4 linked regions of the Saccharomyces cerevisiae S288C genome follow. The gene in region 3 interacts genetically with the main gene of each other region. Each region holds a gene or a part of one and is shown on either strand. Other genes may lie near its edges. The genes, in order: HFA1, YBR284W, AUR1 and VPS68.

Evidence for each region.
Region 1: mutations in AUR1 (region 3) and HFA1 together harm fitness more than expected from each alone (negative genetic interaction), as found in Saccharomyces cerevisiae (one large-scale study listed by BioGRID).
Region 2: mutations in AUR1 (region 3) and YBR284W together harm fitness less than expected from each alone (positive genetic interaction), as found in Saccharomyces cerevisiae (one large-scale study listed by BioGRID).
Region 4: mutations in AUR1 (region 3) and VPS68 together harm fitness more than expected from each alone (negative genetic interaction), as found in Saccharomyces cerevisiae (one large-scale study listed by BioGRID).

What each region holds. Positions count from the first base shown.
Region 1 is NC_001145.3:676,996-688,698, forward strand, and holds HFA1 (acetyl-CoA carboxylase HFA1), read right to left. Parts: upstream 6,570-11,703; coding exon 198-6,569; downstream 1-197. Other genes in the region: ERG12 (mevalonate kinase), read left to right, coding at 7,472-8,803; YMR209C (uncharacterized protein), read right to left, coding at 8,916-10,289; MGL2 (putative carboxylic ester hydrolase), read left to right, coding at 10,521-11,703. UniProt on the Saccharomyces cerevisiae protein: Catalyzes the rate-limiting reaction in the mitochondrial fatty acid synthesis (FAS) type II pathway. Responsible for the production of the mitochondrial malonyl-CoA, used for the biosynthesis of the cofactor lipoic acid.
Region 2 is NC_001134.8:769,650-778,052, reverse strand, and holds YBR284W (metallo-dependent hydrolase superfamily protein), read right to left. Parts: upstream 6,815-8,403; coding exon 4,421-6,814; downstream 1-4,420. Other genes in the region: APM3 (Apm3p), read left to right, coding at 1-41; YBR287W (uncharacterized protein), read right to left, coding at 199-1,482; APE3 (aminopeptidase Y), read right to left, coding at 1,740-3,353; HAB1 (Hab1p), read right to left, coding at 3,697-4,131; SSH1 (Ssh1p), read left to right, coding at 7,638-8,403.
Region 3 is NC_001143.9:434,079-437,638, reverse strand, and holds AUR1 (inositol phosphorylceramide synthase), read right to left. Parts: upstream 2,060-3,560; coding exon 854-2,059; downstream 1-853. Other genes in the region: mitochondrial 37S ribosomal protein bS6m MRP17, read left to right, coding at 147-542; BYE1 (Bye1p), read left to right, coding at 2,762-3,560. UniProt on the Saccharomyces cerevisiae protein: Catalytic component of the inositol phosphorylceramide synthase which catalyzes the addition of a phosphorylinositol group onto ceramide to form inositol phosphorylceramide, an essential step in sphingolipid biosynthesis.
Region 4 is NC_001147.6:73,868-80,738, forward strand, and holds VPS68 (Vps68p), read left to right. Parts: upstream 1-3,692; coding exon 3,693-4,247; downstream 4,248-6,871. Other genes in the region: Mg(2+) transporter ALR1, read left to right, coding at 533-3,112; serine/threonine protein kinase YGK3, read right to left, coding at 4,485-5,612; 60S ribosomal protein uL23 RPL25, read left to right, coding at 6,481-6,493. UniProt on the Saccharomyces cerevisiae protein: Involved in vacuolar protein sorting.

The sequences.
Region 1 (11,703 bases), on a different chromosome or scaffold from region 3:
CATAAGTACGCGCTAATACATGTATTGATATAAGTTATGTTTTTATTTATCAAAATGATATTGTTGCATTTTTTTTTTTAAATCTCACGTTATTTTTCATTTATATACATACACTTAAGAGAATGTCAGATTTTCTCTTTTCGGCCACCATTATGGTATCTAAGCGGCTATTTAACTTACTTGTTCCTATACCGAAACTATCTCTTTCGCTTACTGTCCACCAACCTAGTTAGCTCTTCAAGGACAATGTTTCCCCTTCTGTCTTCAAATTTTTTCTTAAGCTCATCGATCAACAGCGAGATCTCAAACTCTTCAATGTTCTTGTCAATTTTTTTCGAATTTCTTTCTATGAACTCCACTACTGCTCTGTCATCATTAACATCCAGATCGTTATACCATGACTGAACTATTTTCAACAGGTCGTCGTACTTCATTTTCGTTTTGTTATCACATGTTTTTTTTTGCAGTCTTTTGATCACTTGTCCCTCGTTCAACCTCCTTCTCAGTCTCCAATATAAAAATCTGCGTGACTTTTTCCATTCCAACTCATTTCGGATTACTCCTTTAACTAGCATCCTAGTCGATCTATCATGTAAATCTGCAAACTGTATGCTGATTTGATTGTAAATTGGTATCAACTGTCTCTCTCTTATTTTCAATCTCTTCGTAAGATCATTTTGTTTTTCCAAAGATAACTTTTTTTCTGTCAACGTTCTTCTCAAATGTCCATATGTGGAGTCTAATCGAATCATCGTCTCTATCATTTTCTCCTTACGGTATTTTATGCTAACTACTCCGTCAGGTTCTAACACACCTCCCCTAGATTCAACATCGGCATACATTTCCATTTGTTCAGGATTAATAGTTGGATCTATAACAACCCATGATCCGCCCCTTAATTCACCAAAGGGCGGAATGTATATCAGTATGGGTTGTTTGTAGTCAACCAGAGCGTCAACAATAAAAGACCCGTACTTTAGTACTTCATTGTACATATCCCTTTGACCGCCAGAAAATCCCCTCCAATTGGCTAAGATAATCAATGGTAATTGCTCACCATAGTTAAAATCATTTATAGTTTGAGCTGTTTTGAACGCGGAATTTGGATACCACACCTGTCCTGCTTCTTTAACGGAAAACTCTGAAGAATCCAGATTAGCTGGGTCAGCGGGGATTATTTCTTCGATAGTCTTAGTTTCTACCGCAATAACACCCACGGGAATACCTCCAAGACGTGCTCTTCCAACTATTACACCTTTGGCCCATCCAGATAATGTCTCAAAAAACGAATCCTTATCAAATAGGCCTGACTGGAAGTTGTTATTTGAGTCCCATTTACCCTCTATCAACCACCTTGCCTCATATGGCACTTGCTTGGCAGGTTTGAAGTCTACATCCCTATCCCATCTATCCATAGTTTCAAGAAGTGGAGGACTCATATCTCTTTTCGCCGGGACATATGATAACCATGTCATTATTTTTTCGATGGCTTTCATATCATTACTGGCTGTTAAATGCGCTATTCCGTTTTTATACATGATTTGGGTTCCGCCAATTTGTAGGTTAGATGTATAGATATCGGTACCCAAAACTTTATTAATCGCCGATGCACCCGTCAGTATGATAGGCTTATCCTCCACCTGAATAGTACGTTGTCCTAGTCTGACCAGATAGGAACCTATACCAACGGACCGACAAGTAACAGCAGTAATAGTGAAAATGTCTCTATACGCTTTCGAAGTGGCACCAGCAATTAAACCCGAGCCCTGTAAACATTCAACACCTAAACCCTCTTCGAATCCGACTATTGCTTTAATAATATATCTCTCTTCACCGTATACCATCTTGTGTTCAACAACAACCGAATTTCCTTTCCCAGAATCTTTCAGTAGCTGCATGTCTTTTGGAGCTAAGTATAAGTACTGGAAACCCTTTGTTGGATCAGAGGGGTCATTCCATGCTACACGAAATAGAGGGATCAGCTCTTCGGCTATACCCAATTTAGCTCCTGAATTCGCCGCCAAGTATATCCTCGGGATCCCTCTCTCTCTTGCATAATTTGTGACCCTATCAAAAAACAAATCTTCTCTCGGTCCAAAAGATCCAATATTGTAGGTAATATCATTAGAAATCACGATCATGTTACGCCCTTCAGGATATTCAGGTGTCTGAACCATAATCTCAAAAGCAACCATCCCTATATTATTAAGGCCTGGCTCCCTGTTTACTTTTATTAAATTACCGTTTTGTTCTATCAATTCAACCCAACTAAAAAAACTGTCATTCAGCTTATGTTTTGGAAAATACCTTTTCCACTGTTGGATTGCAGCTTGATGAAACAGACCTGGGAAATCGTACACATATGTTGTACCCATGAATTGAGCTTTGTACCTTTTAGGTTGTAGCCAATCCTTGACCGAGTAAGGAAGAGAGAGAGATTTCTGGCTATAATGGCTCTGCTCACTACACGGTTCCAAAATCAGATTCCCATTTTTCCCTATCTTTTCGTAATATGTCTCAATTTTTACCACATACCCAGATTTATTAGAAATAAGTAATCTAAGCGGGGCTGGCTTCTTTGTTTCTAGGCACTCAACAGAGATGCAAATTTCTACATCTGTGATTCTTTCTTGAAACAATCTGGTTTCGTGAGTCTTTAGAATTGTACTCACAATTTCCTCGAGACGATGTACTGGTATGTTAAGAACTGTATTGAAACTTAAAAAAATATGATTCAAGTCTGAATTTGAGATGTCAACTGCTCCTAGATGTTCTAACATATAAACCACTTGAGCATTGATTTCCGCTTTCAAGTTTTCTTCGGTTGTTTTTTGATCATTATACATGAAGGAATTTATGATTTTCCTGACAAAGAACCTTTTATCTAGCGGCGTAAATTTGCTAATACCTTCAAAAATGCGTATACTACTATCGTATGTAGGTAGTGATCTGATTTTATAGTTCGACATTTTTCCTAACTCTAACGGTGCTTCATAGGATGGATCCATATTTCTTATTTGAGAGATTTCATCGTACGTAGTTCCATCAAAGGAGTAAAATTTAACAGCGGGCGCATTCGCGGCGATAAATGCAAATGTAATACGATTAACCTTGAGCTTGGATAGACCTCTCTCATTTTCATGAAGTTTAATTTTTAAAGTTTTAATTAGATCATTTTCACTTCTGTAACGAATAGGAGATAAAATATTAACAATAAGAGAGTTCTCTCCGCTGGAAAGTCTTTCCTCAGGAATATGAATTTGTTCGTATACCTCGTCTAATGTCTTTTCCAGAGATTCAAGCGCACGCATGTTGACAAGAAGACCAAAACTATTTGCTGAGCTCTTACCTGATGTTGAGGGAGGTTTAGAAAGTTTTGTAAACTCATCACTCTCACCATCAGAATTGACTAAATAATTTCTTAATGAGCTGAATTGCCATGACATTAGTAAATCAGGCGCTCCTTTATGAATCTTAATACTTTTTAATTGATAATTGCCGTAGGCATACCTTGCATAAATTTCAGATGCTATACTGGAAAGAGCCGTATCTTGATGGCCAAAAAAAAAGAACAAATCCTGAAGTTGTATCAGATTTGAATGTATTAAATTACCAAAATCCCTCATACAGGAATATATGTTCCTGCTGTGAATGTTTTCGGCACCAGTATCCTTTATGTGCAATTGCAGGAGAGTTTTAATATGCTCTTTTCTTTTCTTTATGGGAGGGAAAATCCCTCTGAGTAGCACTGATCTTGCCTTTACAGCAACCTCTTTAGCCCACTTAGATTCCAAACTTGCCAAATCATGTATAACAGCCCTGAATTTTAAAGACATCTTAGAGGAATCCTGGCACAATGGCTCGTATTCATGCAATATTGCAGTTACTAACTTGTTCTTTGCGACTACGTTAGCATGCGATAAACTTATGCACAAAATTTTTTTCAAGTTTGTAAGGTCTTTCCTCCGCAGATTTAGTAAGTTTCTTTCTTCATGTATATCATGATTTTCAAAAATTTTCTCAACAGCATAGTACTTTTTAATCAACTTTAAAAAAATTTCACATTCGTGATTAGCTAAACCTTCGCTATACCTTTCACTAATTTTAAGAAGTGGCTGTAAGGCAACATAAACTACATGATCATTTGTATTTTCTTCCAAGTAGCGCTTCATTAATTTGTGCAGTTCCTTTGCAGGAAAAGAAACAGATTTCTTGACTAGATTTCCCAGCCCCTCATTCAATTGCCTTGGTAGTCTATTGCGTACCGTAGAAATTTGGGAATCCCATTCTGAATAAGGAAGCCTACCATCTCTCAATATTTTTATCAACTCTTTTAGAGTAGTTTCTATTCCAGAGTTTTCATGATATCCATTGAGAATATTTTCTAACCTATTTATTAAGACTCTGAGCTTATGGTTTGGTCGGCTACCCTCTATTAGCGGTGGACCTAAAACAGGTAATTCTCCGCGGTATAAAGACGATTCGTTAGCTTTGGACGGCGAATCCAAAGTCAATTTTGCGATGACATCACCAGCCTCAATTATGGAACCGGGCTGTCTTAGTAACTCAATTACACCATCACTTTTCGCTACTAGTGGCATCTGCATTTTCATTATTTCTATTTCTGCATATTGCTGTCCAGCAAAAACGTGATCACCACTTCGGACCAAATATTTCACCAATTTCCCCGGAGTTGGAGAGATCACTTGAGTGGGATTGAGTTCAGCTTCTAAAAATATGGTATTGGAGTCTATCGAAAGTCTTGTACCTCTGATATCGTCCTTCCAATAAACTGTATGGCATTTACCGTCAACGGAGATCAACAAGCAGTCACTGGACAATTTTTGAACATTAACTTCACATTGAGACTTATTGATAGAAAGAATAAATTGTTCTTCAGATGATTGAGCAACATTGAACAAGTATCTATTATTATCGAAAATGAAGTCAACAGGAAACTTCGTTTTAAGAAAATCTTTAGGTGGAACTTGGCCCCTCCGCAATAATTCCAAATACTTATTCCTCACCTTTTCTGTGAAAACGTATGCTTTCATTGCGGCACCACAGATAATAGCGAGCGTTGGATCTAGTTTGCTATCGGAAGATAAATTTTTCAAAATCAAATCATCTAACCAACCAGTCGATATGTTATTACTCTCAAAGTCCCGAGTTTCTAATAGCTCTATCAGGTACTCTATGGGGGTTTTGAATTCTCCTCGGATGGAAAAATCTTTTAGAGCTAAAACCATGTTTTGCTTTGCATCTTGCCTATCGTTTCCTACAGCAAAAATGTGCCCAAATTGGGAATCTGAAAATGAGTGAATAGCACCATTATTTCCTACTGAGAAGTAACCCCAAACATTGGAAGAAGAACGAAAATTGAGCTCATGTATTTTCCCAGTGGAGGGCTTGAAACCTTCATTAGGATCTTCTGAAGTGATCCTGCATGAAATACAATGGCCTTTTGGCGAGGGTCTCTTTAAATTTTTAAAATCAATATACGAAGTTCCCGTTGGATCTAAACCATAAAGTTTTCTGATATCACTTATCATGTGCATAGGAATGCCCATGGCGATTTGCAGTTGAGTGGCAGGAAGGTTTACGCCAGATATCATTTCTGTCGTTGGATGCTCTACTTGTAGTCTCGGATTCAGTTCTAAAAAGTAAAATTTATCATCTTTTGGTGAATATAAGTATTCGACAGTGCCCGCAGAAACATAACCTACCAATTCACCTAGACGAATTGCTGCGCGTTCCATCCTTTGAAACGTTTCAGGCTTGGTTATTGTCACTGGTGCCTCTTCTATAATCTTTTGGTGCCGCCTTTGTATGGAACAGTCTCTCCCAAACAATGTAATGTTAGTGCCATATTGGTCAGCTAATAACTGTACCTCTAAGTGACGAGCATCAGTGACAACTTTCATAACAAACATAGGCGACCCAGGTGTCTCATTCACTGCTTGGCGATATAATGCAATAAAATCATCCTCATTATCTACTCGCCTAATGCCCTTACCTCCACCACCTTCGGATGCCTTAATCATTACAGGAAATCCTATTAATTTAGCCTTTTCTAAAGCATCTTCAGGTGAGGAACAACATCCCCTTACATATACATCATCCGGCACAGATACAAAGTTCGTCTTGTTATCGATATGGATAGTGTCTATATGTGAACCAGACCAAGGGATACACGGGATTTTAGCGCTTTGTGCTACAATAGTGGAAGAAATCTTGTCACCCAATGATCTCATAGCGCGTCCAGGAGGACCAATGAATAGTATTTTCCTTTGTGAACTAGCTAACAGCTCAGGAAGACACGGATTTTCAGAAGCATGGCCCCATCCAGCCCAGACCGCATCCACATCCGTTTGCTCTGCCACGTCCAGTATTAAGTCTATGTTGGCGTAATTGTTGTTGTTGGTACCCCCTGGTACCTGCACATATTGGTCTGCCATTCTAATATACTCCGAATTTGCGTGTAAATCATCAGGTGTCGCCATTACCACGAATTGAATGATTTTTTCATCATTGAACGTCTCGTACGCCCATTTTCTTATAGATCTCATTTCTTTCACCGCAGCAATACCATTGTTTGCTATTAAGATCTTTGAAATAACAGTATGTCCACCACGTAAATCAACAAAATCTCTTAATATTGAAGGTTGGGCACTTTCCACAGTATTTAGCCCTATGAACTGGGGCGGTAATCGAGTATGTTTATGAATATTGCCTCGATCCACATAATTGGAATACCTTCTTCTAGATGGAAAATTCAAACCTATTCGAGATGAATGCCTATACGAATGGGCAAAAATGCGTTTTCTGTATTCAGGGCGCTGTCCTTTCAACCGTACTATCTGGCTGCCCGTTATATTATAGAATCGATAAGGATCCAAATATAACGCGAGCTTGTACTGTCCTATTCGAATGCAAGTAATTGTGAATATGGTAATGTAAAAGTGAGAATGTATCCGGCGAGCCCCCCAGCTTTGGCCGTGTGTAATTGTCTTCCCTTTCTACCCAAGATGACTTCTTCTTTATCATTCTTCATTATTCATCTTTTCTTGTCATCTGCCGCCCACCCATTTTAGTTACCCTAACGGAAACATTGATGAATGATGCTATTATTACTGTCATAAGCAATAAAAAGAGAGGTTCCTACTACTTCTCCCGTGGAAAGCTAGCGATAGCCTTGTACTCTATCTCACTTTCAGAATGCGTACACATTTATGTTTAAAGAGGCGTTTTGTGCTAGTTTTGTCTCAACGTGTATTTTATCGGTTGTAATTGTACTGACAATTTTCGGGCCTCGTTTGGCTGTCGCACTGAAATCTTCGACAGGGTATCGAAGAACGATACAACGATATGCCTATAAAGGTTAGTTAGCCATGATATTACTTCCTGGTTAGCTGGTGCGCTTCTTAGTCCTAACTTGCAAATTTATATCTACGTATAGAAAACTGTCAATATGTCATTACCGTTCTTAACTTCTGCACCGGGAAAGGTTATTATTTTTGGTGAACACTCTGCTGTGTACAACAAGCCTGCCGTCGCTGCTAGTGTGTCTGCGTTGAGAACCTACCTGCTAATAAGCGAGTCATCTGCACCAGATACTATTGAATTGGACTTCCCGGACATTAGCTTTAATCATAAGTGGTCCATCAATGATTTCAATGCCATCACCGAGGATCAAGTAAACTCCCAAAAATTGGCCAAGGCTCAACAAGCCACCGATGGCTTGTCTCAGGAACTCGTTAGTCTTTTGGATCCGTTGTTAGCTCAACTATCCGAATCCTTCCACTACCATGCAGCGTTTTGTTTCCTGTATATGTTTGTTTGCCTATGCCCCCATGCCAAGAATATTAAGTTTTCTTTAAAGTCTACTTTACCCATCGGTGCTGGGTTGGGCTCAAGCGCCTCTATTTCTGTATCACTGGCCTTAGCTATGGCCTACTTGGGGGGGTTAATAGGATCTAATGACTTGGAAAAGCTGTCAGAAAACGATAAGCATATAGTGAATCAATGGGCCTTCATAGGTGAAAAGTGTATTCACGGTACCCCTTCAGGAATAGATAACGCTGTGGCCACTTATGGTAATGCCCTGCTATTTGAAAAAGACTCACATAATGGAACAATAAACACAAACAATTTTAAGTTCTTAGATGATTTCCCAGCCATTCCAATGATCCTAACCTATACTAGAATTCCAAGGTCTACAAAAGATCTTGTTGCTCGCGTTCGTGTGTTGGTCACCGAGAAATTTCCTGAAGTTATGAAGCCAATTCTAGATGCCATGGGTGAATGTGCCCTACAAGGCTTAGAGATCATGACTAAGTTAAGTAAATGTAAAGGCACCGATGACGAGGCTGTAGAAACTAATAATGAACTGTATGAACAACTATTGGAATTGATAAGAATAAATCATGGACTGCTTGTCTCAATCGGTGTTTCTCATCCTGGATTAGAACTTATTAAAAATCTGAGCGATGATTTGAGAATTGGCTCCACAAAACTTACCGGTGCTGGTGGCGGCGGTTGCTCTTTGACTTTGTTACGAAGAGACATTACTCAAGAGCAAATTGACAGCTTCAAAAAGAAATTGCAAGATGATTTTAGTTACGAGACATTTGAAACAGACTTGGGTGGGACTGGCTGCTGTTTGTTAAGCGCAAAAAATTTGAATAAAGATCTTAAAATCAAATCCCTAGTATTCCAATTATTTGAAAATAAAACTACCACAAAGCAACAAATTGACGATCTATTATTGCCAGGAAACACGAATTTACCATGGACTTCATAAGCTAATTTGCGATAGGCATTATTTATTAGTTGTTTTTAATCTTAACTGTGTATGAAGTTTTATGTAATAAAGATAGAAAGAGAAACAAAAAAAAATTTTTCGTAGTATCAATTCAGCTTTCGAAGACAGAATGAAATTTAAGCAGACCATAGTATCCTTGATACATTGACTCATAATCAGTTAAATAGCCATTCAATCCCTTTGAGCTATCAACTTCATATTCCTCCACAAGGTCCTTCCACCCGCGAATTTTACGCAGCCGACTTAATTCATCTCCTGTAAATTGGACCAAGGGTTTGGTGCCATACTTTAATGGACCTACATTGACCCAATGCAGCTCTTTACAGTATTTCTTTAGTGCTTCAATACTGGATAGATATTCAAACATATTTTCCGCGGTATCTATGAAATATGCGCTACAAATGATAATTTTATCATAGTCTTTGGAAATGGGAGAATATCGTGTGAAGTCCCCCCATAGTGGGTCCAGATTACTGCGGTGGCCAACTTTGCTCAAATCTGCCGATAAACTTCTCAACTGATTATCAAACACTGTCTGGCATGAATATTGTTGTACAAAAGGACGTATCTTAACGTCATGCTTATATTCGAGTGCAAATAGGTTACATATGTACATCAAGGCTGATAATTCGATGGAGTCCACCTGTATTTTGGGGAAAGTGGTGGCAAGAGTATGGGATAGGCCACCCACACCAGCCCCTGGGGTCACGATAAGAATTTTCTCTTTCATGTCCCCGGCACTAATCACATGATGGTTGATTCTACTAATGATAAAATTTTGTAAAGGATCTCTTTCCACACTATAGTAAGAGCTGAAATCACGACACAAATGTGCTAATGCTTCATGGACCACACTTTGGCTGCCTCGAGACGAAACTATTGGAAATACGAAGTCAGGATTCAATTGAATAAGGTGACCATCTTTAATCTTATAGCCGTGTTCCGCGCATATCTTTTCAATTTCCTCTGTAAATTCTTCATCGTGTTCGTTGGAATGAATCAATTTCCCTAAAGTGAACTCAATTATCTTGTCAATAACTCTTGCGTTTTCTCGGATACCCTCATTATTTTTCATTAATTTGGTGAAGTAGCCTAATTTTTGCAACTGATCTTCTGAAATTCCATTTAATTGTCTTGCTCTCCGAAATAAAAGGCCATTATAGCCTTCTCCTCTTGCTCGATACTCATGTAAACGGATTAAATTCCCCGTAAGATCAGGAAGAGTGGGAATCTGATAATTAATTTTAGAAAGATTCGATTGATCGGCAGATATTGATTTCTCAACATCAACCAATTTTAAGGAGGGCGATAAAACGCTGACTTTTTGGGCCAGATTTGATTTTCTTGATAATAGCTTTTCAACATATGATACAAACCACCTCTGCAACGGCTTATTTTGCCTTAGCAGTGTCATCAGGACTACCACAAGGGCTAGAATTATATTTGATGCCAGTGAGCTAACCATTGGCGCTCCTCAACTTCGTATATCAATATTTTTACCTCTTCTATTTCCTGAAAAATTTGTTAATTGTACAGCATCGTTTACGTTTTTTTTTTTTTACGGGTCTTCTTACCTAACCCCGAAAAGTATTGTGGATCTTAAAAGGGTCTCAATTATTTGAAGTTCGATAAAAACCAACTACTTTGTTATTTTAAAACTGTATTATACAAACGCTGGTAAACTTCCAGAGACGATATGCGTCTAAAAGAATTGTTACCTAATTTTTTGATTGTTCATCAAGAGGTCCCTGAGGATCCTATTGCATTCAAGTCCACCGATAAACGAGAGAATGAAAATAAAGAGATCACCATCCCTGAGCTAATAGATACTAAAGTTCCTGAATTAGCTGACGGTGCTACTGACACTTTATATGGTTTACTGGTCAATGGCCATTTACAAACTGCATATGGTTCCTTTAGACACTTTGACAATATATACAAAGTTCAATATAAAAGAATGATAATCAAATACCCACATGGGGGAGAAGGGACTGTGGATTTTGCTGTAAATGGTAGAAGTACCAAAAGAAGAAAAGTGGAAAAAGAATACGTGCCGACAAGTCAACCGGTATTTAACGGAAACTTGAAACGAAGATATTCGTACTATTCCCCTGATGATCCTAAATTGAACTCAGACGATGCTAAGCCTATGCTTATTATTCTCCATGGATTAACAGGGGGTTCGAGGGAAAGCTACGTGAGGGCAATTGTTCATGAAATCACCACGAAGTATGACTTTGAAGCATGCGTGTTTAATGCTAGAGGATGTTGTTATTCTGCAATTACAACGCCGCTATTATACAACGGTGGTTGGACCAATGATATAAGATATTGTGTTAATGACTTGAGGAAAAGATTTCCGAATAGAAAGTTTTATATGATGGGATTTTCGTTAGGCGCATCTATAATGACAAATTACTTGGGAGAAGAGTCAGATCGTACTAAAATCGAATGTGCTATTTCCGTGAGTAATCCATTTGACCTGTACAACTCTGCATATTTTATTAACAGTACACCAATGGGGTCACGATTTTATTCACCTGCTTTGGGTCACAACTTACTACGCATGGTTCGAAACCATCTCTCTACTCTGGAAGAAAACCCTGATTTCAAAGATGTTATCGAGAAGCATTTAAAAAAGATTCGCACTGTGAGGCAATTTGATAACTTGTTGACAGGCCCAATGTTTGGATATAAAAATGCAGAGGAGTATTACAAGAATGCTTCATCATATAAAAGAATACCCGGGATCAGAACTCCTTTTATAGCTTTGCATGCTCAGGATGACCCAATTGTCGGAGGTGATCTTCCTATAGACCAAATAAAATCCAATCCATACACTTTGCTTCTAGAAACTTCGACGGGGGGGCATGTTGGAT
Region 2 (8,403 bases), on a different chromosome or scaffold from region 3:
AGTATAAGACCCAGACAGGCAATTTTCAAGTAAGGCTGTAGTTATATGTGTACTTGAAATTCCATGCGAAACTAAATAGAATATAATGAGAATATAAGTCTTGGAATAAAAAAGGAATATAAAACTATGCTAAAAAAAAAAAAAAATGAATAAGACTTTCATTCATGAAGACTCTATACAAAGGAATGAAAAGTTGTATTAAGTTGGGTTAGCCCACTGTAAAACGTAAATTGCACCTGAGACAACAATAATACTTACAGGCAAACTTAAGACAGCGTACCCCCAAAATAGAATATCGGCCATTTCTGCCTCGAAAAATTCATTCAGTTGAGTGATTTGAGTTAATTGAATGGCAGGAGGGGAAACAGTCAAAAGAAAACCGACAACAAGGAAAATTGGATCGTCCAAAATACTCACGTTTATGTACTTAACAGCAATAGCAATAATAGGCAAAAGGAAGCAAGAAGGTAAAATCATTCTTCCGATGATGGAGCCGATCAATAACTTGCTATGGTGAACCGTCTTAGGGAAGACTTCCGCAGAAGGATATAAGTTAGAACCGAGGACAACCAGGATCAGTGGGATAGAAACTGAACCCAGCTGCGTAACAGCCTCGGCAAATGTGTTATTGATAAACCCATCTTCCATAAATAGCTCTCTCTGCAACGGACCAATTGCTGCCACAACAACAGCAAAAATCATGGAATATAACGGAGGATTAAGGTTCGCTCTGATTCTCTCAAATACAGTGCATGATTTTTGCCAAATCTTATCACCGATGGAACTCGAACTCAAAAAAGATGAGTTCATTCTGTTATTTTCTTCTTCAAGCAATTCTTGTTCCTCTTGTTCCTCATTGACAAGTTCCTCGTTATCAATGTTGGGCGTCCTTTCCAACAAAGATTGCACTTGAGAAGGTGGCATATGCTGAGTGTTCTCTCCAGACCACTTCATTAGCTTATTGTAACCCCAGCTCCACCTCAGCATTTGTCCGATTTGTTGAAAGATCAGCAAGTATAAAATACCCCTTGATGCAACGTTATCTCTGTTATCATTAGGAATTTGGTCCCAAGTTAAGTTGGGCAGAGTGTAAGCCAAAGATAATGTCAAGGACACAGGTAGAGAGTTACTGTTACCAAAGACAGAGTTTGCCACCACAAAATTAGTTTCATCTTTATCCAAGTCTAGGATACGGCTCATTATCTTTCCGGAAATAAATGAAATACCAGTAGTCAAACCAAAAAAAATAGGAATGATGGCTATTTCAAAGATTTTGGCCATGGACAGGGATTTGGCCAACTTACTAAAAATAAGACATGGTGTAAAAAGGTCCACGTTCAACAGAGAAATGATTTTTTGACTTTGTTTGGGCAGCAGACCAGAACTAGCGCTCCAAAAACCAGCGAGTGCGATAATGACTACCTGTAAAACGGACTCAAAGACCAAATAAGCCAAATGAGCAAAACTAAATGTTTCAACCATATAGTAGAAATGCAGAGTAATCTATGAGGGTATGGTTAGTTGGGAATAACAAACCAAAAACGGGCTTCACACATATTGTTCAATTTACAATAATTTCCTGTTTAAACTTTTATATCACAATTTCAGTTTTTTTTTCTACCTTTTTTTCACTTTGATAAGGAGGCTGTGATCCCCTTGATGCACGTGCAGTTAAAAAAAAGAGGGTTTTTATTTTCTTTTAGATAATTATACAGAAATACTTGATGTGAACAGTACACTTAAATAATCAAGAAGTCGGCCCTGTACTTAAATTGTGGTTGTTGAGCATTCAATATGTCCACCTCTTTGTGCTTTTGGGTTTCTCTTTTTGGGAAACCCTCGAAAGAGTCAGCATAGGTGGCCACAGAGTGAGCAATCAACTTGGTGTTGGTAATGAATGCGTCCCAGGATAAGTTAGAGACATCATCACATAATTGATGGTAGCATCTGTCTAAGACCTTTCCGTTGTTGACGTTATTCTTTTCGGCACCAGTGGCAATACCACCGGCTGGAATTCCGTTGTTGATAAACCCGACATAATCGGATCTACCGTCAAATGGGACCAAAGTGTAGTTCAAGTGATGAGCCTTGTAGTAGTCTACGTACAGGTTTTTCAACTCTTCAGACCCCTTAGGGTTCTCCTTGTTGTTCGCATCATAAATTTCGTATTCATAGTTTGGAGAAGCCATCATGTCATAGTCCATAAATACTCTGATCTTGGAGTTTTCTTCTTTGGTCAAGTTATAAGCGTAGAAGTTAGAGCCTAGCAAACCTTCTTCTTCAGCAGCCCACCATGCAAAACGGACCTTGTTATTGATCTTGAAATGGGTCAATTGCTTAGCGACGTTCAATAGGGAAATAGTACCGGAACCATCGTCGTTGATACCTGGGCCCTCCTCAACAGAGTCTGAATGAGCACCAAGGGCAACAATATTATCAGGATCACCGTGTTTTGTGTCGGCAATGATGTTCTGGGTCTTGATAAATTCTACATAAGAGTCCATGGCAAAATATAATGAATAATCGATGTTCAATGCAATATTGGCAATCAATTTTTTACCAACTTTATATGGAACACCGACGGTGGCGACAGTGTGCTTGGTAGGTTCGCCTAATGTACCGTGTAGTCCTTCTTTAGATTTAGGTTCGTTGTCGTAAATGACCACAGCGGTGAAACCGAACTTACCGGCCAAATTACTCTTATCGCCAAAAGGACACTTACCTCTTTCGATAAGGGCAATTTGCTTTTCGTTGTGTCTTGGTGGGACTACAGAGGCGTAATCCTTCTCTTCACATCCCAAGTTAGGAATTTCGACTAGCTTACCTACGAACCCGTCCACAGGTGGAGAAAGTGCGAAAGCTGTAGTGTTAGCAAAGCTTTTACCGGTTTCGGCGTCAGAGAGGTTGAAAGAGATGATCTTACCGGATAAAGCTTCGAACTCTTGCAAAGAAACATCATAGTAGTCCTGCATGTCATCGAAAACATTCAATATGTATTCCATAGTCTTGTTATGACCCTTGGACCCGATCACACGGGTAGGGTGACCGTAGTCAGGAGTAGAATAGTTAGCTAAACGGTAGAGGTCCCAAGCAGTAGCATTCAAATCGTCAACTTTGATTTTATCTTGCAATTTTTCACTTTCTACATGTGGTTTCATGAAGTAAGGAATATGTGGCTTCGGAATGTTGGCAGCAACGGCAGAGCTATCATCGTCGTTTAATTGCGGAAGATAATTCTCAATTGGCTCTTCTTGTTGAAAGGCTTCCTGGAAGAATTGAGGAATGACATAGGCAGAGCCTAAATTGGTAGCGTAAAACGCAGCGACAGCCAATTGCTTCAAAGAAAAGTGCATGGTTGGCGTTTCTGTTTTTTTTTTTTTTTTGGCTTCTTCTACCAATTGTTGAAAGGCTGAACATGGTTTTGTTCCCATCCATTGTTCCTCGCTTTTATATTGAAAAAAGAAAAATTTTCCTAAGGACCCCTTCTTCCTGAGGGTTAATTTAAGGGAATTCAAAGTGTGTCAATAGTAATTAATAGAACTAATCAATATATTCAGTATAACTTTTATTATTAATAGTATATGATATTACTTTTTGAACTATATATTTATGGAAGCACAAAAACATAGAGAACACTCTTTCTGACGATAAGAAAGGTGATTATATCAAGATATATAATGAAGCAGCTCAATTGTCTTATTTCTTGTATCTCAAGTAGCTCCTTCTAGTGCTACACTTTAGTATTCTGCTTTGTTTATCATCGAACCTATCAAATTCCACGGAATCCTCTGGTGAATATGTGTTCTGGTGCCGTGTTGAGTTATCGTTATCCAATTTGTGTTCATTGGCGACAAGGCCCTTTTTCAGCTCATTCAAATCTATGCAATGATTATTAACGCCTTTCTTATCAATGGCAACCTTACCCAAATTGTTTCTGTTTCTAGTCAGGATTGTAGCCATTTCTCTATCTGAAATGTCCGCCTCCATGCTATCGTCAGTGGGGCTTTCTAAGGATTTTATGTTTATGAAACCATTGTTTTCATTGCAATAGATTATTTCAATGGGGGAAGGCTCTTGCTTTTTAAAGGAGAATAGACTATCAAAATATGAGAACCTAGAAAATATGGTCATTGTCAACTATAAGCGAGCTTAGAGATTTCGAATTGTTATGTTATAAATGGAGTGATAAGACTCTTGTTTGAGGCTTGGGCTTTTTGATTTATATTAAATTAAGATATGTAAAAAAAAAAATAAATTAAAAAACGTGTGTTCTATTTACAGTATCTACTTACTTATTTGTTTATATATTCCATTAGTTTACTTATCTTTATCCTTAACCTTTTTTTTTTGTGTGTGTGGGGAAGGGCGGTACATAATATTAGCGTCACAATATGCGCCCCTCGAAGAAACATGAGCGAATTCACGCAATTATGAGTCGCCACTCCCCTGCGAGAGTGCTACTGCGATATTGACGTCTGATGATCGGAACGTTATGCTCTAAACTTGTATTTGGTTTACAATCATACCACTTGTCTACAAACCCAGTGTTTTCCACGAAGTAGTCATGGCTGGCTAAGGAAACGCCGAGCCATTTGTTCTTTAGGGTACTTGAAAATCCACTGGTTATGACACTGTTTCTTAGAAGTTCGCATAAATCTGCTGAATGTAAACGGTATATACTAGCCGCTACACTATACTCTTCTATAATGGGTTCTTTCGTATACGAATTGTTGTAGAGGATAGATTCTGAGCTCAGCGATATCTTGAACCCCATTTCAAAAAACTTCATGAAAGGGTTCTTCTTATAAGGCTTTGAGGGCTCTAGGACAAGCCCCGTCGGGGCTTGTTCTTGCAGCATTGTAGGCTTTGAATCTACTATGGAATTCAAAGGCGCCACAACCATGGGAATTTGACTTAGATAGAAAAGATACACCAGTGATGGTGGTGCATTCCAGAGATTTTCTGCATTTAGAAACCCTCCACAGGCGAGCAAGAAATTGTTTAAAATAGCTTCCGTATGTTCTGTGAAGTTCAGTGTATTACTAAACTGTGAAGTTCGATTCATTGAGGTGGGAGAACATGAACTTCTCAAAGTGAAGGTATTTTGATGAAGGGCTTGGCGGATATGGTTCAATTTTGTTAGGTTGACGTAGACGTAATACATATATTGTGAAATGGTTGGATTATCACCGCCAGATGTCCAATCTTTTGGCAAGCAACTAACTGCTGTGAAGTTTTTCCAAATATAGTTGTCCGTATCTTGAATACATAGATCAATCGAAGATACTTGAGAAAGAAATTTCAAAAGAATAGGTCCTAATGACTTGTGTAGATAATTTTCGGCATTGAAAAGTGGTTTGAAGATTAGATTTAAATACTCCTGAAAATTCTTCACCTTGCCAGTATGATACAGTTCTGGATAAATTCTAGAAATGCGAATATTCCAGCGAATATTGTTAGAAAATATATTATAGTGGTTCAGCCAATTGGCAAAGACCATCCACCAATTGTCCACATCGGAATTATCGTAATGCAGATAAAATTGGAAGTCCACGGAGAGTTGACATAACTGATATTTCGACTCCTCTTGCGGTTTTATTAAAAACGTTTTCAGTAGTTCCGCTAAGTATTCACCATTAATATAGTTATCAAACTCCAAAAATGTTTTCGCAATCAAATAGTATCGAAGCTGCTTACCGTGTGAGCCTGTGTGTATTTCCATTTCATCGTTAACCAAATGATATTTTGCGAGATAAATAACTTTATACCACTCCAAAAATGAATCGTCAATAATTTTCAACCCATTGAAGAACTGACCGGTCTCCTCGAAATTCACTTTGAATAATTGGCTCAAGGTTATATGACTACCATTAAAAGCTTGATGGATAACCCTGTCCGGTTCTTTTCTCAACTTGGTCCAAATAAACTCAGTCAATTGCCACTGTGAGAAACAGCCGCTTAACAGAAGATTCAGATCAATCTTTCTACAGTTGTAAAAATCCTTGTGTGGCACCTTTTTGCTCTGTCTCATTTCTTCCTTGGAATGTAGGTGTTGAAAAACTGGAAACTTATTTACAAGATATTGTAATCTTTTTTCGCTAAACCTTGATAGGCTTCTATCTCTTATAATTTTCAAGCACCATTCAAAATCTTCCCTAAATTCTTTAAAAGTGGGGATATTAATCTGACTGTTGAACAATTCCGTCATATAATTACCATCCTGGAGGAGGTTTACAGTATTACTTTCCTCTAGATCAAGAAAGTGACGTATTCCAAATAATTTTTCTTTTACAGGTTTAAGATAACCCCCAGCCACTCTTGAATGAAGCTGCGGACATGACAAAGCATCTTGTTTACTTATAGTTAGATAATTTCGCCTTAACTTAGACATTTCCAACAGGCATTTGCGGTCTATGCGGAAATGTGTTTGCTCAAAGAAATAGCTAGGAAGGTGAGCCAAGGATGAATATGCTAGATCTTTTGTTTTTAAAGGTTCGACAGGAGGTGGCGTTTCTGCCGGCATCGCCATGGGTGAACCCATCTCCATCTGCATATCGAACTTCGTATTTAGTGGGACCATATCAAGATCATCCAAATGCAATACTACGTCAGTATTACTATCCTCGAAGATTTGAGCTCGAGGATTTCTTACTCGAGCTTGTGATGTAATTCCTACGTCCCCGTCGAAAGCTAAACCCTGATCCGACACAGCGTCATTTCCATCCAGGTCGTCCAAGCGTATTGGTGAAGTGGAAGGGCTCTCCTTATAAGAGTCGCATTCAACGAAAAAAACCGATTCATTGTTCTGTACCATTGTTTGTGTGATACCCTGATAAGTCCTCCTTTTCCTGTACTATTTACTAAAGATGTCGCCTGTCCTACTTATACTGTTTGTATCCACTGAACGCGGGCGCAAACTCTTTGCCACCCCCGTATTTAGCCGCCAACGATATTTTTGCGTCCAATGATAATAACCGTTGATAGTACCGAAACAACAGAGAACAACCATCATACACTCATGCCAAATTATAAGAACAGACACTGTTGAGACTGTTAACGATATTCTTTCATAACGTGAAACATAAAGTTGTTGAGATACCTTTCTTTTTATTGCTACCGGCCACTTTGAACTACATTACAAGTTATATTCGATTTGCAGCCATATATGTGACTTCAACTGCCCTGAATTGCTTTTCATAATGCATAAGGACTATCCTCGTCTTAGGTTTAATCATTCCTCTGTCTGTACTTAATGCAACCATGTAGAGGGGCGCTAACGATATCATTAGACACGGTAGGATCTGTATCACTTTACACGCTTTCGTGGCAAAGAAAAGAGCTGAAAAAGTGAAAAAAAAAATGTCGGGTAGAGAGCAAAGCGGAAGCAGGGTTTGTTTTACACCGACAAAATAGTTATCCTTTGTTCGCTAGCTACCACAGTCTTGATAGATGTCATTTGGTCCTTCATTGAATTAGTAAAAGTTAATAAAAGTAAGATCGAATACACTGCAGAAAAGCTTGCTCTTTTTTTTTTCTTTGCTTGGGTTGGGTGGTTTTTCATAGCTTTATTGAATTGAATCCATTACTCGTACGCATTTTTTAGCACATTTGCCCCCGCCACTCTCCATTGTTTTAGTATGTCTGGTTTTCGTCTAATTGATATCGTTAAGCCTATCCTACCGATTTTACCGGAAGTTGAGTTACCTTTTGAAAAATTACCATTTGATGACAAGATTGTCTATACTATTTTTGCAGGGTTAATTTACCTTTTTGCACAATTCCCACTTGTTGGTTTGCCCAAAGCTACCACACCTAATGTTAATGACCCCATTTATTTTCTAAGAGGTGTATTTGGGTGTGAACCAAGAACCTTGCTAGAATTTGGCCTTTTTCCCAACATTTCTAGTGGGTTAATCTTACAATTATTAGCCGGTTTGAAAGTAATTAAAGTTAATTTCAAGATCCAAAGTGATAGAGAATTATTTCAAAGCTTAACAAAAGTTTTTGCCATTGTTCAGTATGTGATTTTGACCAACATTTTCATATTTGCAGGTTATTTTGGTGATGATTTATCTGTGGTACAGATCGGGTTGATCAACTTTCAATTGGTCGGTGCTGGCATATTCACCACTTTGTTAGCTGAAGTCATCGATAAAGGATTTGGATTTTCTTCTGGAGCTATGATAATCAACACTGTGGTAATCGCCACTAACTTGGTGGCTGATACTTTTGGTGTTTCTCAAATTAAAGTTGGCGAGGACGACCAAACCGAAGCCCAAGGTGCCCTAATCAATTTGATTCAAGGTTTAAGATCTAAGCACAAGACATTTATTGGCGGCATCATCTCTGCATTCAACAGAGACTATCTACCAAACTTGACAACTACTATTATAGTTTTGGCAA
Region 3 (3,560 bases):
TCTATCTTTTCGCAGTTATCATCTAACCCGGAAAAGTTTCAACAAGACTTTAGCCTTTTAATGGAAACTCCCACTAGTTCAGCTTAAACAAAATAGAAAAGCTTCAACAGAGGAAAGAATAACGCAAAACCACCCTTTTCACTAAGATGCTTTATGAGCTGATCGGACTTGTTCGCATAACCAACTCCAATGCGCCAAAGTTGGAAGCAAAAGAATTGTCTTCCACAATCGGGAAACTGATTATTCAAAACAGAGGTGTGGTGAGGGACATTGTACCCATGGGCATAAGGTATCTTCCTAAAATAATGAAGAAAGACCAGGAAAAACATTTTCGAGCATATCACTTTTTAATGCTGTTTGATTCATCAGCTGCGGTACAGTCTGAAATTCTAAGAACTTTAAAGAAAGATCCCCGTGTCATAAGATCATCCATCGTTAAAGTTGATTTAGATAAGCAGCTGGATAGAGCCTCATCGTTACACCGTTCTTTGGGGAAGAAGTCTATTTTAGAATTAGTGAATGAAGATTATCAATCCATTTAGGTATAGCGCACAGGTTTTGACTGGGGACGCTACAAACACATGTAAATACATACATATCTTTCATACACATATAATAAACAAAGCAGGAAGAGCATTCTAAAAGCCTCACTTAACATAGACACCATTAAAAGCCACCCATTTATTTCAAAAATTTATAAAATTCTAAAGATAATCAGTGGTATGTGATTAAATAAACTACATGTATATTATGCTAAACGACAATCCTGACTAAGAAAAAGAAAGAAAAAGATATATATTTATATGTATCTACATAAGACCAACCGTATCCGTAATTGCAGATAAAATACTCATTAAGCCCTCTTTACACCTAGTGACGTTATAGACGTGGCGGACGAACGAGAAACAGAAGTAGATCCATCAAATAACGAAGGGCTTACACTGGGTTCATCAGTCATATTAAGATCAAAGTCAAGTTCCAAGTTGGACAAAGGGACACTTTCGATATCGTTTGAATCTGCAGCCAATGGATCACTCTTTGATATATCGTATTTCTCAATTGAAGTGTATGACCATCTGCAAAAAAGAGATGTATCTACAATTGGTAAATGTGTGTACTTTGTGTACTGGAAAATAACGTATGACAGCACAGAACCTGCCATAAGGTCTACAAAATAATGGTGTGTCAGATACATAGTTGACCACCATAACCAGCAAACATAAGCAATAAACAAGGGCTTCAATTTTGGAAAACAATAACAGAAAAACAGGGCTTCCATAGTAGCACACCCGGAATGCAGTGAAGGAAAAGCACCGAAAATGACGGAGGAATTTGAAAAAGCTGTAGTATACATATTAATACCGAGTAGCTTATCAATTCTAGCTAATCCACCAGGCGAGCCATGCATATCATAGTTGGCTGATTGCAATCCATAGAGAATTTTATACCATGGGGGAGCGGCTGGAAAGACATTTTGCATGATAACACCAAACAGGTTCATATAACCAAATGCAAAAGCATAACCTTGCAAAACAGTTGGTGGACCAAATACGAATAAGATGGCAGCAACGACAAATGGGGCCCCAAAATGAAATAGTCCGTACGGTAACCATGCTAAAATGTCCAAAAAGGAATTCGTCGATGTTGCAAGAATATCACTTAAATTGTCGCCGTATAAAATTGTTTCCACCGCTGGTAACACTTTGACAGTAATAGGAGGCCTGCGGTCATCTGGAAAGTACGATGAAGTGAAATACAGCGCCACCCATGTTAGGATGGGCAAGGCATTGAAGAAAAACTGTGACGTAGCTGGAATGATGAATAAAGTGCCCAAGAAACAATAAAAAAGGATCTTGAAGATCCAAGGTGCGGGATTAGTAATGAACACAAACAGCATGATGGATCCCAAGAAGATGTAATGCACCCAGTCGCTTAAAGCGGGTTTGTATTTTTGCACCTTCAACAACGTTTGATGGGGATCTAAACTTGTTTCTAAATCGGCTACATGGCAGTTTGGAGGTCTCTCTGATAGAAACCATCTCGAAAAAGGGTTTGCCATACGCAAAGGAATGATTAAAAGCTTTTTAAAATATGAAAACCGCAACCTGTAGGATATAAAATAAAGTACTTTTGGAGAAAATTCAAAGATCCTTGGGCCAAAAGCTATACCCAAAGTAGCTCAGTGTGAAAAAGGAAAAGGATAAACTTATGAAGTACTTAACAACAACCAAAAGTGAGCGATCGGACTAACCAACTACCTAAGAGATGTAGCAGTAGAAATCCTACTCTGTTGGTTCACGAACAAAAGTCGCTAGTGTTCTTACGCTATGGTAACTGAAGCAAAAAATACGCCTCTGCAGTAGTACCAAATCAGAAAACCACTTTGTAACAAATATGAACACTGATGGGCACTTTATTATTCTTTGACAGAAAGAAATAAAAAAGCGATGACCCGCCAAGCAATGAAGTTGATATTCTTTTGTTGTGGTTTTTTTAGCTCATTTTTGTTTTTTCCTTTTTTCAGTTTTAGGATCACTCTTCACGAATAACTTTTCATATCATTTCTGGGAGCTGGGGAGAGATGGATACTATTTCACAAGACATGCAAAGGGATGCCCAGACTGCAGTTTGGCCAAAAGGCTTGCAATGAAAGAGGATAGGTTGACGAGATCTTAGTATTTTGACTTGTTCTATACACAGGGAGCTATCGATTATCCTAGGTTCTCTTTTACTTTTAGCTTTTATTTAGTTTAAATTTATTATGTCTGTCCGTACTTCTTCAAGATCTAATAAGGGTCAGAATAAATATATTGAGTATTTGTTACAGGAGGAGACTGAAGCACCAAAGAAAAAAAGAACTAAAAAGAAAGTTGATTCAGCCATAGAGAAGAATAAGAAGTCTGATTCTTCTCAGGAGCCAAGGAAAGATACTGAAAATGTAAGAACAGACGAAGTAGACGAAGCGGATGAGGGCTATGTTAGATGTCTGTGTGGGGCGAACAATGAAAACTACGATGCTGCAGAATATTCGCATGGCGACATGGTACAGTGCGATGGCTGTGACACTTGGCAGCATATTAAATGTATGACTGATGGTAAAGACACCATAGATGGGCTAATGAGTGAAGATTCTAAGTACTACTGTGAATTGTGCGACCCATCATTGTATGCACATTTGGAAACGTCAAAGGAGGCAGAGGTTTCAGAGGATGAAGATTACCATGATGATGTTTACAAGCCCGTAAATGACCATGATGACAATGATGCAGATGTCTTTCTTGATGAGGAAAGCCCTAGGAAACGAAAAAGGAGCCCCGATAGTGCCAAAGGAATTCATATCAAATCCAAACAGGTGAAGAAATCCAATGGGTCAAAAAAAAGGAATAAAAGCATTGATGCCGCCAAGTCTGATACTGCCGAAAACGAAATGCCTACTAGGAAAGATTTTGAAAGCGAAAAAGAACACAAACTGAGGTATAATGCAGAAAAAATGTTCTCTACCTTATTTAGCAAATTCATCGTTCCCGAAACAATTGAGGCAAAACTTTATGAGCTTCCTG
Region 4 (6,871 bases), on a different chromosome or scaffold from region 3:
CTAAAAATTTCAGTACTCTGGCAGCATCTACTCATTTAATTGCCGTAATACATGGGACTCAATGATCCTTAATATGCTAAATGCTACCCCTCCTTTTTTCTTTTTTATTCCTCATAAAATTGCAAATATCGCAAGCACGTTTTTACTCAGCCCGTCCGCTTTGAGATACAAAAACGATATCTGAAATTAAAATTTTCTCTGGAACATGGTCCATCGAACTAATTATGCATAATAACGTACGTTCCTATCCTATGAACACTTTTCTTTTTCTGGATAAACTGACTTAACAGTAGAAAACGTAGTGTGCAAGGCCATCCTTCAATATAGACTCAAAATTAGAAAGAGTGCCCTGATTAGTTGAGTTTTTCCTTCTATAAGCAAGAAAAATATCATCCTGACAAGAGACAGGTATTATATAAAATATTTCTACATGGAAGTATACTGTTAGTTGAACATAAATTCAACAAAAGGATACCATTACTTCTTCTCAAAGATCATCGAATATTGCTAGAAAGCGTAAAAGCATTTTACCATGTCATCATCCTCAAGTTCATCAGAGTCATCGCCTAATTTATCGCGGTCAAACTCACTGGCTAACACGATGGTTTCCATGAAAACAGAAGACCATACGGGATTGTACGACCATAGGCAGCACCCTGACTCACTGCCGGTCCGTCACCAACCTCCAACATTGAAGAACAAGGAAATTGCTAAGTCCACTAAACCTTCTATTCCTAAGGAGCAGAAGAGTGCAACGAGATACAACAGCCATGTGGATGTGGGAAGCGTACCCAGTAGGGGCCGCATGGATTTTGAAGATGAAGGGCAGGGTATGGATGAAACGGTTGCTCATCATCAATTGAGGGCATCTGCCATTTTAACTTCTAACGCGAGGCCTTCCAGACTAGCCCACTCCATGCCACATCAAAGGCAGCTTTATGTGGAAAGTAATATACACACACCACCAAAGGATGTAGGTGTAAAGAGAGACTATACTATGTCATCTTCTACTGCATCATCAGGTAACAAATCCAAGCTGAGCGCATCTTCCTCGGCAAGTCCTATTACGAAGGTTAGAAAATCTTCGCTGGTCAGTCCTGTTCTTGAGATCCCACACGAATCGAAATCTGATACACACTCCAAGCTGGCTAAACCCAAGAAGAGGACATATTCTACCACATCTGCGCATTCATCTATCAATCCCGCAGTTTTACTGACGAAAAGCACATCCCAAAAATCGGATGCAGATGATGATACATTGGAAAGAAAACCAGTACGTATGAATACTAGAGCTTCTTTTGATAGTGACGTATCACAGGCGTCGAGAGATTCTCAAGAGACGGAAGAAGATGTTTGTTTCCCTATGCCACCACAATTGCATACCAGAGTTAACGGTATAGATTTCGATGAACTGGAAGAGTACGCTCAGTTTGCAAACGCGGAGAAGAGTCAATTTTTGGCAAGTCTGCAAGTGCCCAACGAACAGAAGTACAGTAACGTTTCTCAGGATATCGGGTTTACCAGCTCTACTTCCACTTCGGGATCATCAGCTGCCCTAAAATATACACCAAGAGTTTCGCAGACTGGTGAAAAGAGCGAGAGTACCAATGAAACAGAAATCCATGAAAAGAAGGAAGACGAGCATGAGAAAATCAAGCCTAGTTTACACCCTGGTATATCTTTCGGTAAAAATAAAGTTGAAGGGGAAGAGAATGAAAACATTCCATCCAATGACCCGGCGTATTGCTCTTACCAGGGTACAGACTTTCAAATTCCTAATAGATTTTCTTTTTTCTGTTCCGAATCTGATGAAACCGTTCATGCTAGTGATATCCCTTCCTTAGTGTCTGAGGGACAAACATTCTATGAATTATTCAGGGGAGGTGAGCCAACATGGTGGTTAGATTGTAGTTGTCCAACTGATGATGAAATGCGTTGCATAGCAAAGGCGTTTGGTATCCATCCATTGACTGCAGAAGATATCAGAATGCAAGAAACACGTGAAAAGGTGGAACTTTTCAAATCGTATTACTTCGTTTGTTTCCATACCTTTGAAAATGATAAAGAATCAGAGGATTTCCTGGAACCTATTAACGTTTACATTGTTGTCTGTAGGTCAGGTGTTTTAACATTCCATTTTGGCCCAATATCTCATTGTGCTAATGTCAGAAGGCGTGTAAGACAGTTACGTGACTATGTCAATGTCAATTCAGATTGGTTATGTTATGCTTTAATCGATGACATTACTGATAGTTTCGCTCCTGTAATTCAATCTATTGAATATGAAGCAGATGCAATCGAAGATTCTGTGTTCATGGCTCGTGACATGGATTTTGCAGCAATGTTACAAAGAATTGGTGAAAGTAGGCGTAAGACAATGACGTTGATGAGACTTCTTAGTGGTAAGGCTGATGTTATCAAAATGTTTGCCAAAAGATGCCAAGATGAAGCTAATGGTATTGGACCGGCACTAACATCTCAAATAAATATTGCTAACTTACAGGCAAGGCAGGATAACGCCAGTCATATCAAAAATAATAGTTCGACAACTGTACCAAATAATTATGCGCCCACCACATCACAACCGAGGGGGGATATCGCCCTATACTTGGGTGATATTCAAGATCATTTGTTGACAATGTTTCAAAATTTGCTGGCGTACGAAAAAATTTTTTCTAGATCCCATACAAACTACTTAGCTCAACTGCAAGTGGAATCATTTAATTCTAATAATAAAGTGACAGAAATGTTGGGTAAAGTCACCATGATAGGTACAATGCTAGTTCCATTAAATGTTATCACTGGTCTTTTCGGTATGAATGTTAAAGTTCCGGGGGAGAATTCCAGTATCGCGTGGTGGTTTGGGATATTGGGTGTGCTGCTTTTGCTGGCCGTCCTTGGTTGGTTCTTGGCCAGCTATTGGATTAAAAGAATAGACCCTCCTGCAACACTTAACGAGGCCGCTGAAAGTGGAGCCAAATCGGTTATTTCGAGCTTCTTGCCAAAAAGAAACAAGAGATTCAATGATCGTTCCAAAAATATAAATGTAAGAGCCGGTCCTTCAAACAAATCAGTTGCAAGTCTTCCTAGTAGATATAGCCGCTACGACTGATTAGTGATGTGATAAAGATAGAAGATTTAAGTCACAGAGGCGTGCATCTACGATTTTGGCGTTTCACATTTTTTACACTTAAATTTTAGTGATCTAGCCGTGACCTTGGCAGCAGTTTCCAAAATCATTCCATGACCATGTCATGCTTAAGAACGTTAGACCCAGAACAAGTGGACCTGTATTCTAACTCTTCACTCTTGGGCAAAGATAATAGTATTATCTTTTACCCCATTTTTTGTATGTTTTTTCGTTTATTGAGTTTGGCGTTTCCTATTTAGAAATAGTACAATCCGGTCAATCATTCGATAGTGAAATATATATATTTAACTAGGAAAATTAGTAAAACCTCATTTAAAGATCATTCACCTTGATATATACTACTATTGACCTTTTGTTAATGACCATTTTCGTAAAAATGAACTGCGATTCTCTTCTGGAATTTGTTACCCTACCTTATTCACTAAATCAGAAATAATAATGTGCAGCGCCCCTTTCATAAAGAAGGCAAGTATAGGGCATATAGTTAAAGGTCAGAACTCTTTATCCCCAACTACAAGATCAATTAGAAAATCACATCATCATGGAGGCAGATGATCATGTTAGCTTATTTCGCTTCCCCTTCAAGATTCCCACCTTTCGTGGTATAAGAAAAGGTGGGGTCTATCTTTCAGGTGCTCTCTATGCTCTAGGCTTTTGGATATTTCTAGACGCAGTGCTCTATTCTAGATATTCCAATGCATCAGATGTTCATGTTACGTTCATTGACTGGATTCCTTTTCTTTGCAGCACACTGGGAACATTGATTGTGAATTCTATTGAAAAGAATAGATTATTGCAGGGAGCTTTATCGTCAGATGGTGGTGCCTTCGGTAGTGGTGTAGGCGATTTAGATTCAAGCATGGCATGGCAAGCTCGAACCGTTTTATTTTTTGGCTTTGCTTTATTAGCTGGTGGGCTATCAGGCTCCATTGTCGTGTTGATCATCAAATTTTTAGTCAAGGATTACAATACCTATCCAACTTTGGGGATGGGAGTAAACAATGTGTTGGGGAATGTATGCATATTATTGAGTTGCGTTGTTTTATGGATAGCCCAAAATGTTGAAGATGAATATTCATATTCTTTGACGCTCTAAGTTAAGTTGACCAATATTTTCGAGGCCAATTAAGGCGATCTGATTTAGATAAAAAACGTATATATGTATTTATCAACACTTTTTCGAAAACAAAAAGATTTTTAGATAGGAGTATGTACATTCCAATATATTTGTAATGTTTCACATAAAAGGACAGTCTGAGAAAAAATGCAAGTAATGTGGTAAGAAGGAAACATAAGATGACGGCAAATGCAAAAATGAGGTAAGAATCAGCAACTAATCCAGAGATGGCACAATCAAGTTGTAATACTCTCCAAGAGCCCTTTTCTCCGATGCACTAAAATTAAAGAGGTCTGGTAGGTGAACCGGCATACTCGAACCTCTTGGCAAAAAATAGGTTTCATTTCTTAACGCGTCAAAAAATTCGTGAGCCATCAATTGTCTAGCATCGCACCTTTCAGTGGCATCATACGTCAACACCTTTAGCAAGAATTCCACATCAAAAAATTCTATAGAGGGAAACCAATGCATAAACTTCTTGAATTTTTGGTCATTTAAGCTATCCTGTAACTCTTGAGAATTTTTTATAGAACTTTTAGGAAAGCGGCCTAATAGTTTAGCTATCTCCTCCAGTTGTGAGTTAGCGCTATCGCCTTTAAAAAGTGGCTGGCCTTTTATCATTTCGCCTATTATACAACCAAGCGACCATATATCTATTTGAGTTGTATAATCCTTCGAATTTAGGAGAAGTTCAGGTGCTCTATAAAACCTCGAGCAAAAATAGGTCTTCAATTCTGTATTATCATCCAGTCGCTGTGCCGAGCCAAAGTCACACACTTTAGCAATACCGCTACTTGGTATAATCAATATATTGCTCGGTTTCAGATCGCCATGGCATATACTCATGGAATGTAAGGTCAGAAGTGCTCGAAGTATTTGGAATGTGTACAGCTTGATATGTTTTGTAGGCATCTTAGAACCATTGTCAAAATATTCATGAATTTCAGAACTTAAGGTTTGAGGAATGTATTCCATAACAAAGTTTTTCTGATATAAGTGCCCACCGTCCTTGGTAGTACAGTGGCTCTCGAAGAAGAACTCTAAAGTAACCAGATTTGGATGTCTGATATTCTGTAAGATCTCCAATTCCAAAGATTGTACTTTGGGAGATTTCACTACTCTTTTTATGGCATAAGGTCCTAGCCATTCAATACTATTGCTCGACAGAATGGACTGTGTCACAGTTCCAAACGAGCCGTGGCCTATCCGTTTCCCTTCCCTGACGTACATTTTGCTCTTTTGTCTGTTTTTAATCGATACGATGTCATCGATAAAGTAGTGTTCATCCTCCAATTTTGTCATTCTATTGGGGTTGCTCCCGAAAACGTTATTCACTTTAAGCATTAGGTATGTTAGTGCTAAAAGCAAAATGTATGTAGTATTTTCTTTTTTTTTGTTTGTTTTTTAGTGTCCTCATCGATGTACGTACTGTATCAACACAACGAAGAACGACACCTCTTTATAAACCCTAAGCTTGCTATTTGAGAGCAAGAGATCTTTACGTAAACAGATAGGGTCACACAGACTATACGAAAACCTGTCAATATAATCTATTCGGATAAGATTATCAACCCCTCCCTGCAAGATTTTTTATTGTTATTATTACAGTTTTTAAACTGGTAGCAGAGCTATCCGGTAAACATGTACTAATCAGTCTAACACCCCGGAGGAGGCTTATCATTACATATTCTTGTCTCGGCGTTCTTTAAGTTTCTTATCTTGTATGCCCGATATAGCAACCTTGTTGGTACCAATCTAACGGTTTCCGTACTTTGCAATGAAGAGATGAGGAGGCATGGGTCACTTATTTAATATGTACGGGTGTTTACATGGAGTTGCTTTCTTTTTTTGTCTCAGCAGTCATTGTGCGCCAAAAAAAGAGAAAACCGTGAGCCGAAGTCCACGCTCTGGAGTTAGGCTCTCCCATTACGGAGAGAAGCATTTCCTCAGCCTGGGAGCCCCGTTGGAACAGTCAGGCTAAACTGGGCCTTCCTACCCACTGCTTGCTGTTTCTCACTGGACGCACAAGGGGATTTTCTTTCTACCTTCGGCTTGCCTCACTGCGTTGGGGCTTCCCAATGCAACTTCGTTCGTATGCATACAATCTTTTAGATATTATCTTTTAAAATTATTTTAAAACAATTTTAAATGTATCTCATATGCTTTTCTTCTGCTGTTGAAAAGGCTAAACAAAGAAGATCAATAAGATAAAATGGCTCCATCTGGTATGTGAACTGCAATATTAATAGCACGAGAAAATTGAGAGGAAGATAGATGGGAACTAGTAGAGTTGATATTGATGAGATACGAAAACCACACGTAAATAAACTATCCGACGACAAGAATAGTGCATTAAGGACTTGATTAAGATATGGTGAGCAACGTAATTATCGGGCTCAACAGTTTATTAGCAATCGTTTTGATAGAAGCGTTGATGCTGTGGAAGTTGTTCTTTTTACTACCAACAGCCATTAACAAATCCATTAGAGTGTTCGTTCGTTTTTCTGCTCAGATTCAAGAAAATTATTCCATCCTCATTATACTTTTTTCTTCTATTTCGTGCTCCACGTCGAGGTATCAAGGAACATAGTTTACTAACATTA